Rhinolophus ferrumequinum: one gene and its partners. The protein of the gene in region 3 interacts with the protein of the main gene of each other region in a pairwise test. Links are inferred from orthologs where the notes say so. Each region holds a gene or a part of one and is shown on either strand. Other genes may lie near its edges. The genes, in order: MAPK1IP1L, CSTF2 and TFG.

The links.
Region 1: the proteins of TFG (region 3) and MAPK1IP1L interact in binary tests that used the Homo sapiens proteins (3 or more experiments, as listed by UniProt). The two-hybrid records come from large-scale screens. The link is inferred for Rhinolophus ferrumequinum from reciprocal best matches to the Homo sapiens genes TFG and MAPK1IP1L.
Region 2: the proteins of TFG (region 3) and CSTF2 interact in binary tests that used the Homo sapiens proteins (3 or more experiments, as listed by UniProt). The two-hybrid records come from large-scale screens. The link is inferred for Rhinolophus ferrumequinum from reciprocal best matches to the Homo sapiens genes TFG and CSTF2.

What each region holds. Positions count from the first base shown.
Region 1 is NC_046289.1:38,248,100-38,251,848, forward strand, and holds the start of MAPK1IP1L (MAPK-interacting and spindle-stabilizing protein-like), read right to left. Parts: upstream 3,016-3,749; 5' UTR 2,418-3,015; intron 982-2,417; 5' UTR 927-981; intron 1-926.
Region 2 is NC_046284.1:53,627,680-53,631,428, forward strand, and holds the start of CSTF2 (cleavage stimulation factor subunit 2), read right to left. Parts: upstream 2,851-3,749; 5' UTR 2,797-2,850; coding exon 2,739-2,796; intron 1,663-2,738; coding exon 1,584-1,662; intron 768-1,583; coding exon 598-767; intron 1-597. UniProt on the Homo sapiens protein: One of the multiple factors required for polyadenylation and 3'-end cleavage of mammalian pre-mRNAs. This subunit is directly involved in the binding to pre-mRNAs.
Region 3 is NC_046285.1:29,840,411-29,844,159, reverse strand, and holds the start of TFG (protein TFG), read right to left. Parts: upstream 2,183-3,749; 5' UTR 1,933-2,182; intron 628-1,932; exon of another isoform or gene 610-627; intron 1-609. UniProt on the Homo sapiens protein: Plays a role in the normal dynamic function of the endoplasmic reticulum (ER) and its associated microtubules. Required for secretory cargo traffic from the endoplasmic reticulum to the Golgi apparatus.

The DNA of each region.
Region 1 (3,749 bases), on a different chromosome or scaffold from region 3:
TATCTTACATTTGGGCAACTTAAGAAATTCAGGATTTGAAAGTTTTTGAACGTTTTAAATTTCTTTAAAACATGTAATTAAAAAAAGAAATCACTTTTTAACAGCCTCATGCCAGCTGTATTTTCTATACTTATTCAGATACTTGTTGGAACATATGTACTATGCACTGTTTTGTGTTTTGGAGAAATGGATACCGTGTTTCCCCGAAAATAAGACCCAGCCGGACCATCAGCTCTAATGCATCTTTTGGTGCAAAAATTAATGTAAGACCGGGTATAATATAATACTGGGTATAATACAATATAATACCGGGTCTTATATTAATTTTTGCTCCAAAAGACGCATTAGAGCTGATGGTCTGGCTAGGTCTTATTTTTGGGGAAACATGGCAGTATTGCATGGAATAAATACTTAAGGAGTTGACAGTCTGGTGAACTACCATTTAAACAGTAACTTGGGGTAAGCAGAGGGCTCTACGAAGTATCTCCAAAAGCTCCTAAAGGAATCAGGAGAATTAGGGGAGGAATCCTGAGAAGTGGTGCCTTTGCAGTCTGGAAGAACAATGAGGAAAGAGCTGGAAGTACGGGACAGTGGGATAGGCCTTAGGTAAGGCCTTTGTGCAAAAGCTGCAAGGGAGGTGAGAGATGCTCTGTGGGCAGCGTAGGCAGGTCAGATTGTTTGGAACATAGAAAGGGGTGTAATATGAAAGCCTTAGCAGAGAGCCTTTAGACCAAGATTTGAACATCTTAATCAGCTCATCTGAATGAACGGGCCAGTAATGTGAGAGACTAAATGGGACTCGTAAATCAAGTGCTTGTAATAGTGCTTGGAATATAGTTAGTGGGCAACAGACATATTCTAATCTTCTTTTGTGTATGAGCATATAGCATATGGTTAAGAGAGTGAACACGAAAAGTATGACTCACTAGACAAACAGCAGTTCTTCACTGGCTGGCTCTGGACAAGCTGAACTCTCCAAACCTTAGAGGTAGAAGTAGACAGGAATAGTATCCAGCTCACAGCTACCGCTGTGCGACTTACATTATATTCTTATAAACACATCTTTCGGTCACTGCCTGGCACATAGCAAAAACTCAACAAATGTTAGCTTTTACAACTGCTTCTGTAGGTTCACAAACCTTCATCTGCAGTTCTCAACCCAGAAACTTCTGAAAGTCAAAGAAACGTTCTCAAGTTTGGCATAAAACTTACTTGGCGGCAAAACCTGACCTAAGGCTATTTATAGTTTCCATTAATTCACACCTATTGCTGCAGATATGAATGTTGGATTAGGGGATGCTGCCCCCACACTGCTGGGGTGTTATCTGTCTATGCACTTTTATCGTCTTTCTAACATCTAAAGATAAAATTCAAAGGCTTCTGAAATTCAAAACACACTGGTCCCAAGAATTTCGGTTAAAGGAAGGCTCTCTATTCCCCCGGGAGAGAGGAAAAGGACATGCCAATATTCGCAACTCAATTCAAGTTTGAGACAAACTAGTTTTGAACAAGAGGTTCAGAGACACTAGCAGCAAGAAAACTTTGTTTTTCCTGCCCAATAAACACTACTGAACAAAGAACTTCTGAAAGATTTCTGAAGACTACCTTCGCCTGTAGTAAGGGTTCGTTTTCAAAACAGGCCTTTAAAACCACCAGGTGTACGTGTATTTCTTTAGTAGTAATGCCATAAAAAATTTTTTCCAGTCAGGTGACTATGATTCGATGCTTCAACATTTTAATCTTTATTAAAAGCACTACTCTTGGTTTTCAAAGAGAAAATGGGTTCAGCTATTTCTAAGCTACCATGCATAACATAGGCTCCTAAATCCTAAAAAAATAGAGTATTACCGAACTCAGTAGTTTTTGTCATGGGTTTCATGTAATGTATTTGCTAGCAACTCTAGAAATAATGATCAGGACGTTGTCACACTGCGGATAATCTTAAACAAGGGTCAACGATTTCTGTAAGAATCTCTTCGGGCCTGGCTCTTCCCTTTTATTAGAAATTAATGAATGGGAGATGTCGGGGCCGAGGATCTCGTGGTCGAAAGCTCTTTAGGGCCAAAAGGAACAAAGACAATCCGGGACCAACCGGAGCGAACCGGCCGCGGAGCGGGTCGCTCTCGCTCGGGAAGGGGTGGGGGAAGGGCCGGGCCCTCCCTCCGCCCCGCCGCCCAGCCACGCCTGACGTCAGGCGCGGAGAAACCCGTCGGGAGCGACGTCACCAGGCCCTGACGCCTTCTCCCTGGGGGGCGATCAGGGGACAGTCCAGACCCGGAGGAAGATGACGGGAAAAACGTTTAGCCCTGGCCCCCGAAGAGCGACTCGAGGCACCCCCGTGACTGCGCCCGCCCTCCCGCTCGGGCGCGCTTCCTCGCCCGCTTCCACGACCCTTATTACCGCCGAAGAAGCCTCACCCGGCAAGATGCGAGCCCACAGCAAGGTCTAGAAGCGGCGATGGGTCCGAGGGAACAGGTCGCTGAAAAACCGAGGCAGTTTGACTGACAGCAGCGGCGACGGCGACGACGGCAGCAGCAGCACCAGCAGCAACACCAACAGCGCGCGGCTCCTCCTGGCGCCGGAACAGGAAGCGCCCAACTCGGAGTTCACCGCCCCCGCCAGTGCTCCCCCCGCCCCCCTCGGGGCCGGGCCGTGTGCGCCCCCCGCAGGCCCTCGGTGGCACTGCGGCTGGTCAGGTCTCCGCCGTGTGGCTGCTTCTCGCGCTCGCCCCTTGGCGGCTGATTTCTCCCGTGGGAGAGAGGAAAGCTCCCCGGTTTTCCGGAGATCTGAGCACTCAGAAGAAGCGCCTGTGGCTGGTGACGTTCTGGGCAGCCTGGTGGAAATTGCTAACTTGTTCCCTGGAGTGGCTGGAGGGCAGCTTCTGGATTCCCTGTGCTCAGTGGTTTTTACAGCCAGGCCTCGAAGTTGGCTGGGTGTGGATGCGGCCCAATTTGGGGACGTGGACCCTTGGGCTAAAATTGGGGGGAGCTAAAGGAACAAGACGTTTGCGAATGGCTTGGCAAATTGAAATTAACTAAAGGAACAGCTGTCTTTGCATATTTTTCCTGATCAATGCCTCTTCTACGTTCATCTTTGAACAAACCTTTAAGTATGTACTGTGTCAGGCCTGAAAGATTGACACATGGCCCCCGACACCAAGGAACCTGCTAGCTAGTAATGTTATAATTATGTGGTGTGCAAAGACATATACATATGATACGCACATTTTATCTGTAAAAGTATGCAATATTCTTACATTTTGCTTCATGTAAGCTTTTAGTGGGTCAATGGGTGGATATTTTACTAAACTTCTTAAACGAAGACGTCTCTGAATATGCTCCACAGCACACATAATCCTCATCCTGAAAAATGAACTATAGTGTAACTTCAAATACCTAAGCCTAGAGAAAACAGATTTTTGGATAAAAGCAATGGTCTATGAAAAATGATTAGTGTGACCGACCTAACCTGCCCTCAGGAGGCAGTGAATCAGCAGTGTCTTGTGGAGCCATAAGGAAGCCTGAGGCAAAAAGAAAAGTCAGTAAAACAGTGCTATCTTTATTTAAACTTTTTGTTTTTTGCTCATAGGTTTCCTTTTGTTGTTTTTTTTGCATTCTGGTTTTAATATTACTTTTCATTACTGAGTTTTTTGGTCAAAAATTTTTTATGCCCATCACCTTAATCCTGGTCATGGGTATCAGAGTGACTGATGTCCTCCAGCTTTTCCCATGTTCCCAGCCAATAACAGC
Region 2 (3,749 bases), on a different chromosome or scaffold from region 3:
ACTTTAAATTCTCTAGAGCTCAGAAATAAATGATTTCCAACTCTCTTACTTCTGTGGAGGAAAGTGACAGAATGCATTTTCTGTTCTCAAGAGTAAAGCTGGGACCAGGATCACATAGGTGGACAATGTTAACCTAAATTAGGGATTAGGCACATTAACTTTCTTTGGCAAGCCATTTCAGAAGCAAAAGGTTTAAACAGAAAAATATGCTAATATCAAAATGGAATTCCTGGATCTATAAACCTCATTAAAAAAAAAAAAAGCCGTAAGAATGCTAATATCCCCACCACATACAGATCTGGCCACATAGTTACAGGAGTGGCAAACACCAACGACCTAGTTAGCACTAATCACTTGGTGAGCCTGAATTCATCTTCAACTGGAATCAACTCCTTGGCAACTGAAGGACTTCTAAAGTCAACTTTACCTTGTTTCTCAAAGATATACACTTCCCTAACGCAAACACCTTAGGTGGGTCAAGTAAAGAAGCTGAGTGGGTAACCATTTCAGCAGATGCTAAAACATATCATAAATGGAAAATCTTCATTATTACATCTTTACTAACTCGTGTTGCATACAACTTGGGTTTATACTCACTCTTCAGCTCTTCTTTGTTCTTTTCACTGGCAGCATTGTCTACTCGAAGTGCTCTCCCACTGAATTCACGCCCATTCAGGTTTCGCATGGCACTAAGTGCTGTCTCTTGGTCTTGGTATTCACAGAAGCCATAACCCTTTGGCTTTCCTGTCTCCCTATCATATACCAACCTGGAGAGCACAACCAAGTATAGGCACAAATGTTACATACACACAGGGTTCCTGCTAACATTGCCATATTCCAATTTGGTCAACTGTAAGACAAATAACCTTATCACTCACTGAAATATTTTTTAAACACTTCTTTTTTAATTTACCAATTACAGTTGACATGCATAAACATTTTTTTTAAAAAAATGAATCCCTCCCCCAGCTCAGTTGACAAGAAGATTTTCCAGGGCAGGACAGGTCATAACGACCAGTAACTTCTCTGTGACTAGTGAAGGGGCTTGCGCAATTTGGTGTGGTGGGAAAAGCCTTCACCCAGCAGTGTTGTCTGTAGAAGTAACAATTATAGGGGCGGTGGAGTAGGGAATGCTCACAGCTCCACTAGCATGAGGTTGTAATCCTTGTTGGAGAGAGCATATTTTTTTTGGCTTGACTATGAGCACATGCAGCAGATTCTGCAGGAAACCCAAACCAGTTACACATACCTGGCTGACCCTGAAGCTGAACACGTGCATCGGAAACACAAAAGTGCCTAGCGGAGAGTAGAAGTCTGGGCATATTTGAAAATGGCATGCACTTTGAATGCCACCTGCCCATACCCACATACATTTAAAGAAATCTATCTTTTAGTAAAAATGAATGGGAATTGCATGGTATGTGAATTATATCACAATGAAGCTGTTACAAACAAACAAACAAACAAACAAAGGAGAATGCATGTGAAAAGTCACCAGTATAAACCCTGTCATAATTACTAAGGGCCAAATTTTGTGATGATTTTTAAAGAAACTCCCACCAGGTAGTGAAAAGGAACCTCACCTGAAACTAACAACAGGTCCAACTTCAGAAAAGATGTCCTTTAATTGCTCTTCAGTAGCCTCGTATGGAATGTTCCCCACTAAGAAAATAGGTAACATTAAAATTCTGAGTTTGTAACCTACATCTTTATTAAGAAAATACAGTACCTATTTATATCAGAAAATGTGACAACTTGCTCAAAATACAGTGCTCCTCCAATCCCAGTTCCAAGATTTCAATCTCGCCGGCTAACTTTAATTGCAAGAGAAATAAACCACTGAAACTAAATACAAAAGGTGTAGACATTTCTAAACACCTTTATCAATTCTCAGACTGATCTGACAAGTGTTGGATTTTCCTTAACTTTGGTGAAAAATACTTAGGCATTGCTATTTACCTGAAGGGCTGCACGTCTTATCAGTAACTACTAAAAATAGCAACATTTTAATTCTTAAAACCGGCTCATATGTCCGGATTACTCCCCCACCCCCCACACACACTCAAAGGAGAATGATCGTGGAAGTAGTGGAAGATGTTTAATAATTATTCTTAAGTGTTTTGTCATGTCCCTTCCAAAAAGTGATTTAAAATCACCACACATACTTTAAAAACACAACTTATTTCGGCTGAAAAGATTCCTTAGAATAGATTCGATCCTCTTTAAAATTTCTTCGACGAGGTCTTAATCGTTCATTCATTCATTTATTTACAATCCACCTTAAGACGCCAGATTGCCGCTACCACTACCAACGAACTAAAATGTTACGGGCTAAAAGCAGAGGATTAAAGTCGTTAGGAGCGAGCGGGAAGTGGACACAAGGATCCCAGCACATAATCTGTATTCTGGGAGAGGGGATGAGAAGTAGTAGGGGACAGCTGCCATGCGCATTCGCTTCTAGAAAATTGAAGCTCGTGAAAGGAGAAACGCATAGAAGTTGAACGCTAGTTTAACTTCCTCAGCCACATCGTGGTAGGGCTGCAAAACCTCGGAGTAAGGGGAGCATCCCTTTGCCCACGAGTCCACCAGCTTGCCCGCCGCACAGGAGGCAGGGAGAGCTGCACGCCGGCCCCATCACCGGTTCCCGCGTCGATTCATGAGATGCAGGGGGCGTTCCTCGCCGCTCACTGCCTCTTTCTGTCCCTTCCCCATGCTTGGTTCCACCGAATTCCTCTCACCGAACACTGAACGTAGCGAACGATCCACCGCAGGGTCTCTCACAGTCAAACCCGCCATCGCTCTTCTCCCGAGGCTTCCGGTGCGCCAGGGCACTCTTCCGTAAGGCGCGTGCCTCCAGCGCCCAACAGGCTTCCGTATTGTGCGTGAACCGGAAACACCTGGCCCGGCGGACGCAGGGCCCCCTCCCCTGGCGTCATTCCGTCACAGGCCGCGCACGTTACTTCCAAGAGAACATTAACCCTTCCGGGCAGGGCTGCCGCCTGTCGTTCACGGTCGGATTCGGGTAGGCCCAGGCTAATTTGAAGCCTTTATTGTTCATGTTTTACTTAGGCTAACGCAAGTAATTGTCGACCACAATAAAGATGGAAGCAGTGGCTTTACCATAGTAACAGAGAAGTCATTTGCTAACAACCATGGCACTTTCATTTTAATTACGCCCTGTTGGGGGAGGGAAATGCTTGGCCGCGCCCCAGCGGCGTGCACATTGTCATTTTGCAAATACTGTGAGTTTACGGAGTGCGATGGGGAAAGAAAATCGCAGCAGCCTAGAGAATAAGAGAGTGAGGGGCACTCAACGTTAAGGCGTTAACATAGCTGAGCAGATGGGGAGGTAAAGGGAGAACAGACCCACGTCTACGCTGGTCTAGCCCCTGGGCTCCATGTTTCTGGTAATGGGGGCGGGGCGGGGCGGGGTGGCCGAGGACATTGGCCGGCAGGGTTTCAGAAAACATCAGAACAGGAAACATCATTGACCGGTGGTACACAACAAGCAGCTAAAGCATGATTTGAACTCAGGTTGCTTTGGCTCCAGAGACTGAACGCTTACTGCTGTATTTATTGCCTCCCAGGATAACTGAGAGAATATGGGTGGCTCAACATATTACCATTGCTGGAAAAGAACTTAGAGCATGTGACCTGAGGATGTTGGGTCAATGACTCACAATATAATAAACCACCCAAGACTAGGTTGAAGCACTTAGCCAGAGCTTGTTCTGCTGCGATTAATCATC
Region 3 (3,749 bases):
AAGAATAGTCAGGGTTTTTATTTGCAAATTCTCACAACGGACTTCTCATGAAGGCTGTGATTAACTTAAACTTCCATACAACCTCTTCACCTTTAATCTATCCTGACCTTTATTCAGGAAAAATTTACTGAATACGTACTTATGCCAAGCTCTGAAGTATAATTACTTCAACAAGATGATGAAGATTCCACCTTGTTTGCCTTGCAGTCTGAGAGTAATAAAGAACTCCGGTCAATCAGTGTCACCTTCTACTATCTACAGGTTGTGTAAATCAGCAATAAAGTAGTTAAGGACCAAGGCTTAGCTTCAGCAAAATGGTACTATCTACTCTCAGCAACACTGAGAATAGAGCCTGACATATAGCAAGCAAGGACTTGTTTTTTGTTCCTTGAACAAGAGATGAATGAGGAATAATAAAGTTCTGATAAACCAACTGGGAGAAGAAAGCTGTACTATCTAGTCAGTTCCTAAGTCAGACCTTCACAATGTACCTTCTTTATAAGCTAGAAGTGACTCCCGAAAGCCAACATACTCCTAAAAGAAATTTCCAACATCGAATATTACTGATAGTATGTATGTCTTTTTGATTGTGGAAGGATTGTTGCTCACCAATGGATCTGAAAACACGAGTCTGAGTCTCTTTCACTTCGTATCGGCATGTTTGCCTGCAAACTCACTTATTCTTTAGCATTTCCCATTGACTCAATTCCCTGGGGCGAGGAACCAGGGCTTCTTTCCAAAGGCTGTCCTCAGTTTGTGCAGTTATCTCCTCAAGGCATGCACAAATATCAGAAAACGAATCGTACCACAGAATTTTCCCTTCCAGGGGAAATCCCATCCATCCCCATTGTTTTATACAATGTAATAGTAAAATTCAGGGCCTCTGTTTCTCTAACTACTAGTTACCAGGAGTGCTGGTGAGATCCTTACAGCAGTTTCTCCTCCCATCTTGTCCTTGCCTCACTCCCTCTAAAGTCCAGAAATGACACAGCCACTAAGGAAATCTTCCAATAGGAACACTGTTCTCAGCACTAGAGAATAAAGTGACATGCCCAAGGACACATAAGAAGCCTGCATCCTGAACCAGGATCTAGGTTGTGGCCAAACCTCCAGCTAGATTAACCCTGTGGGTAGGTCCCTGCTCAAAATCACAGGGGTGTGATTGGGCACGTCAGGAAGGTAGCAATTTCCTTTAAGAAATTCTAAGCAAAATCAACCCCTGCTTATTCCAAAGAATACAAGGAGCCTCCGATTCTGCCTAACCAAAGGCAATGTGTTAAGACCGTAAAGATTCCCACTACTAGTCACGTGTCCTTAGGCATCAAACGCAAAATGGGAATAATATTTAAATTTGGAAGGAGCCTTAGAATAATTAAATAAGATCATGCATCTAAAATACTTTGTACAGTGCCTAGTAAACTCTAAGAGTTAGCTATCATCCTCACTACAAAACTGGGTTGGGTCTGCAGACGGCGCTTGATAAAGCACTGACATAGCCAAGGAACGAGGTTCCCCTGAAGTGACCCCAATCAATTTACTCCTATTGGCGCCATTCTCCGCCCTCTCACCCTTGCAAGACCCTATGGCGGTTAGGCGCCCAAGGCCTCCCCGATCACCTCTCCTCTCCGTCCAGCATTCCGACCCCTTGGAGCCAGGCGGAATAAGCGCGAGAGCGCGTGATGGTCCAACCACCCCCAAAGCCCACCCGCCTCCGTGGCCTGTGTGATGCCCTTCCTCTCCCCGCTGTGGCCTCTCCTCCCCTAGGCGAGGTCCCACCCGGCCTCCCTCCTTCGGGCCTCCAGCCCCCTCTCACGGCCCCTCTGGCCCCCTATGCCCGGCGCCCGCCGGTTCGAGCGAGGCCCTCCCAGCGCTTCCTTGTCTCCTGGCCGCCTTGTCTGAGAGCGGCCGCGCCCCCGTCTCCAGCGGCCATACCGGCTTGCCGAGGCCGCTGCTGCCGCCTCTCCACAGGTCTCCGCTGGCCGGACTGGTGCAAGGCTGCCGGGCTTGGGGGCGTCGTAGAGAGGGTACGGTCACGGCCCACTCGGCTGCCCTCCGCAGCCGCCGCACTTCCCTCGTAGGCTCGCGAGGGACCCAGCCAATCGCACAGACCCACTAAGCCTAGCGAGAGCTTGGGCCCAGTACGTGGCAGGTGGGGGAAGAAGAGGGGCGGGAGCAAGAAAAAAAAAAATCTGTCCTTTCGCCCCGCCTCACAGCGAGCAGGCCACCCCAGCACGCATGCGCAACGCCGGGGGGCGCGGGGCGGGCAAGTTCCGGGCCGACGTCGACCGGAGTCTCTGCTCTGTCACTGGAGGAACAAGTGTAGTAAGTGCGAGCTGAACGCATGCACGCGTGCGCGCGGCATGACCAGGAACTTCCGGTTTTTCTGAAAGCGTGTACACTATTTCACGTCTCTCGTTCGTGGGCGGAGCATAGTTTACTGTTCTGGAATCTATTTGAGAGCCGATTGAAAGTGGGCATGTATCCAAGTTTGCGTCTTGTTGTTTTGTGACCCTTGTAGTTCTCTTCGTCATATCTCGAAAAAAAACTAAACTTTTTCCCGCTTTTCTACAAACTCATTCATTCATTTTTGGACGCCTACTCCTTGCCGAGCACTATGAGGATGAATCGGTTTGTGAGCAAGTTTACAATGGCGTTTACGTGACAGGACAAACCTATGAATGGGTAAAGGCTGGGAAATAAAGGCTGATGAAGTATCCTAGAAGCCTTTTTGGAAGATAAGGTATTCGAGTGTGCACTACATACTCCTCTCTCTTACCTAAAACATTTGTTTTGAATACGTGTGTGTATGTAAAAAGTGCCCTGACTCAGACTGAACCCTACATTTTTTTGGGGGGAGGTGAAATTTGGGGGTAGGGAGCGCTACTTTAAAAGTTGCAAGCAACTTTTGTCTTATAAGACAGAGACTAAGCAAAAAACAATTCAAATTAATCTGGCCCATAGTTGTTCAACAGAAAGAAAGGCCTGGGGTAAATTGAATTAGGTTCATGTTCTTTTAATACCATAAATAGTGTGATCTTTTTGCAGTCATGAGTCTCTGAACAAATCTTTTTGAGAGGGAAATATGTGAGGTTAGAATGCTTTTAGCCTCTGAATTGTATTTTACAACACTCTGTATTGCTCTTTGAGCAATTGGTTGCAGGAATTGGGGAGCGAAGGGCTAGAAGGAATGGAAAAAGTTCCTGATTTTCTCCCAAAATTGTTCATTGCTTGTTATTTAGAATTGAGTAATCCAGGTTTGGGGAAGTAAATTGCTGTCCAATTATGGTATTCTGATGTCTTTGAGTTGGTTTGAGATTGGATAAAAACACTCAAAAATTGGCAGAGGTAAAATATTCCCCGAAGGAAAATAACTATATCATTCTCAATCTTCCTAAAAAGAGGTTTCCTGGGGCAGGAAATTAAGGGAATAAACCCTAGCCTGGAATGAGGGGAAAGAATTTCCTCTCTCTAAGTTCCCAGGAAAGGGGCACACACTCAAGAGTCCTGCCACTGAGGAGAAATAAACGGGTCCCTGTTATACTGGGGCCAGCTGGAAGCTAGGAAGAGAGGCACCCATGGGTGTCCTTGGGGAGGAATTGGGGCTTGTGCACTCTGAAAGCAGCTTAAGGTTCGTTATGTTATAATTTTCTCATACTTAATCCCCAATTAGTGAAGTCTATACTTCATCCCCAATTAGTGAAGTCTTGTTGAGTTAAAACTTGTCCCCTTCCACTAGAGAAGGAGAGAAG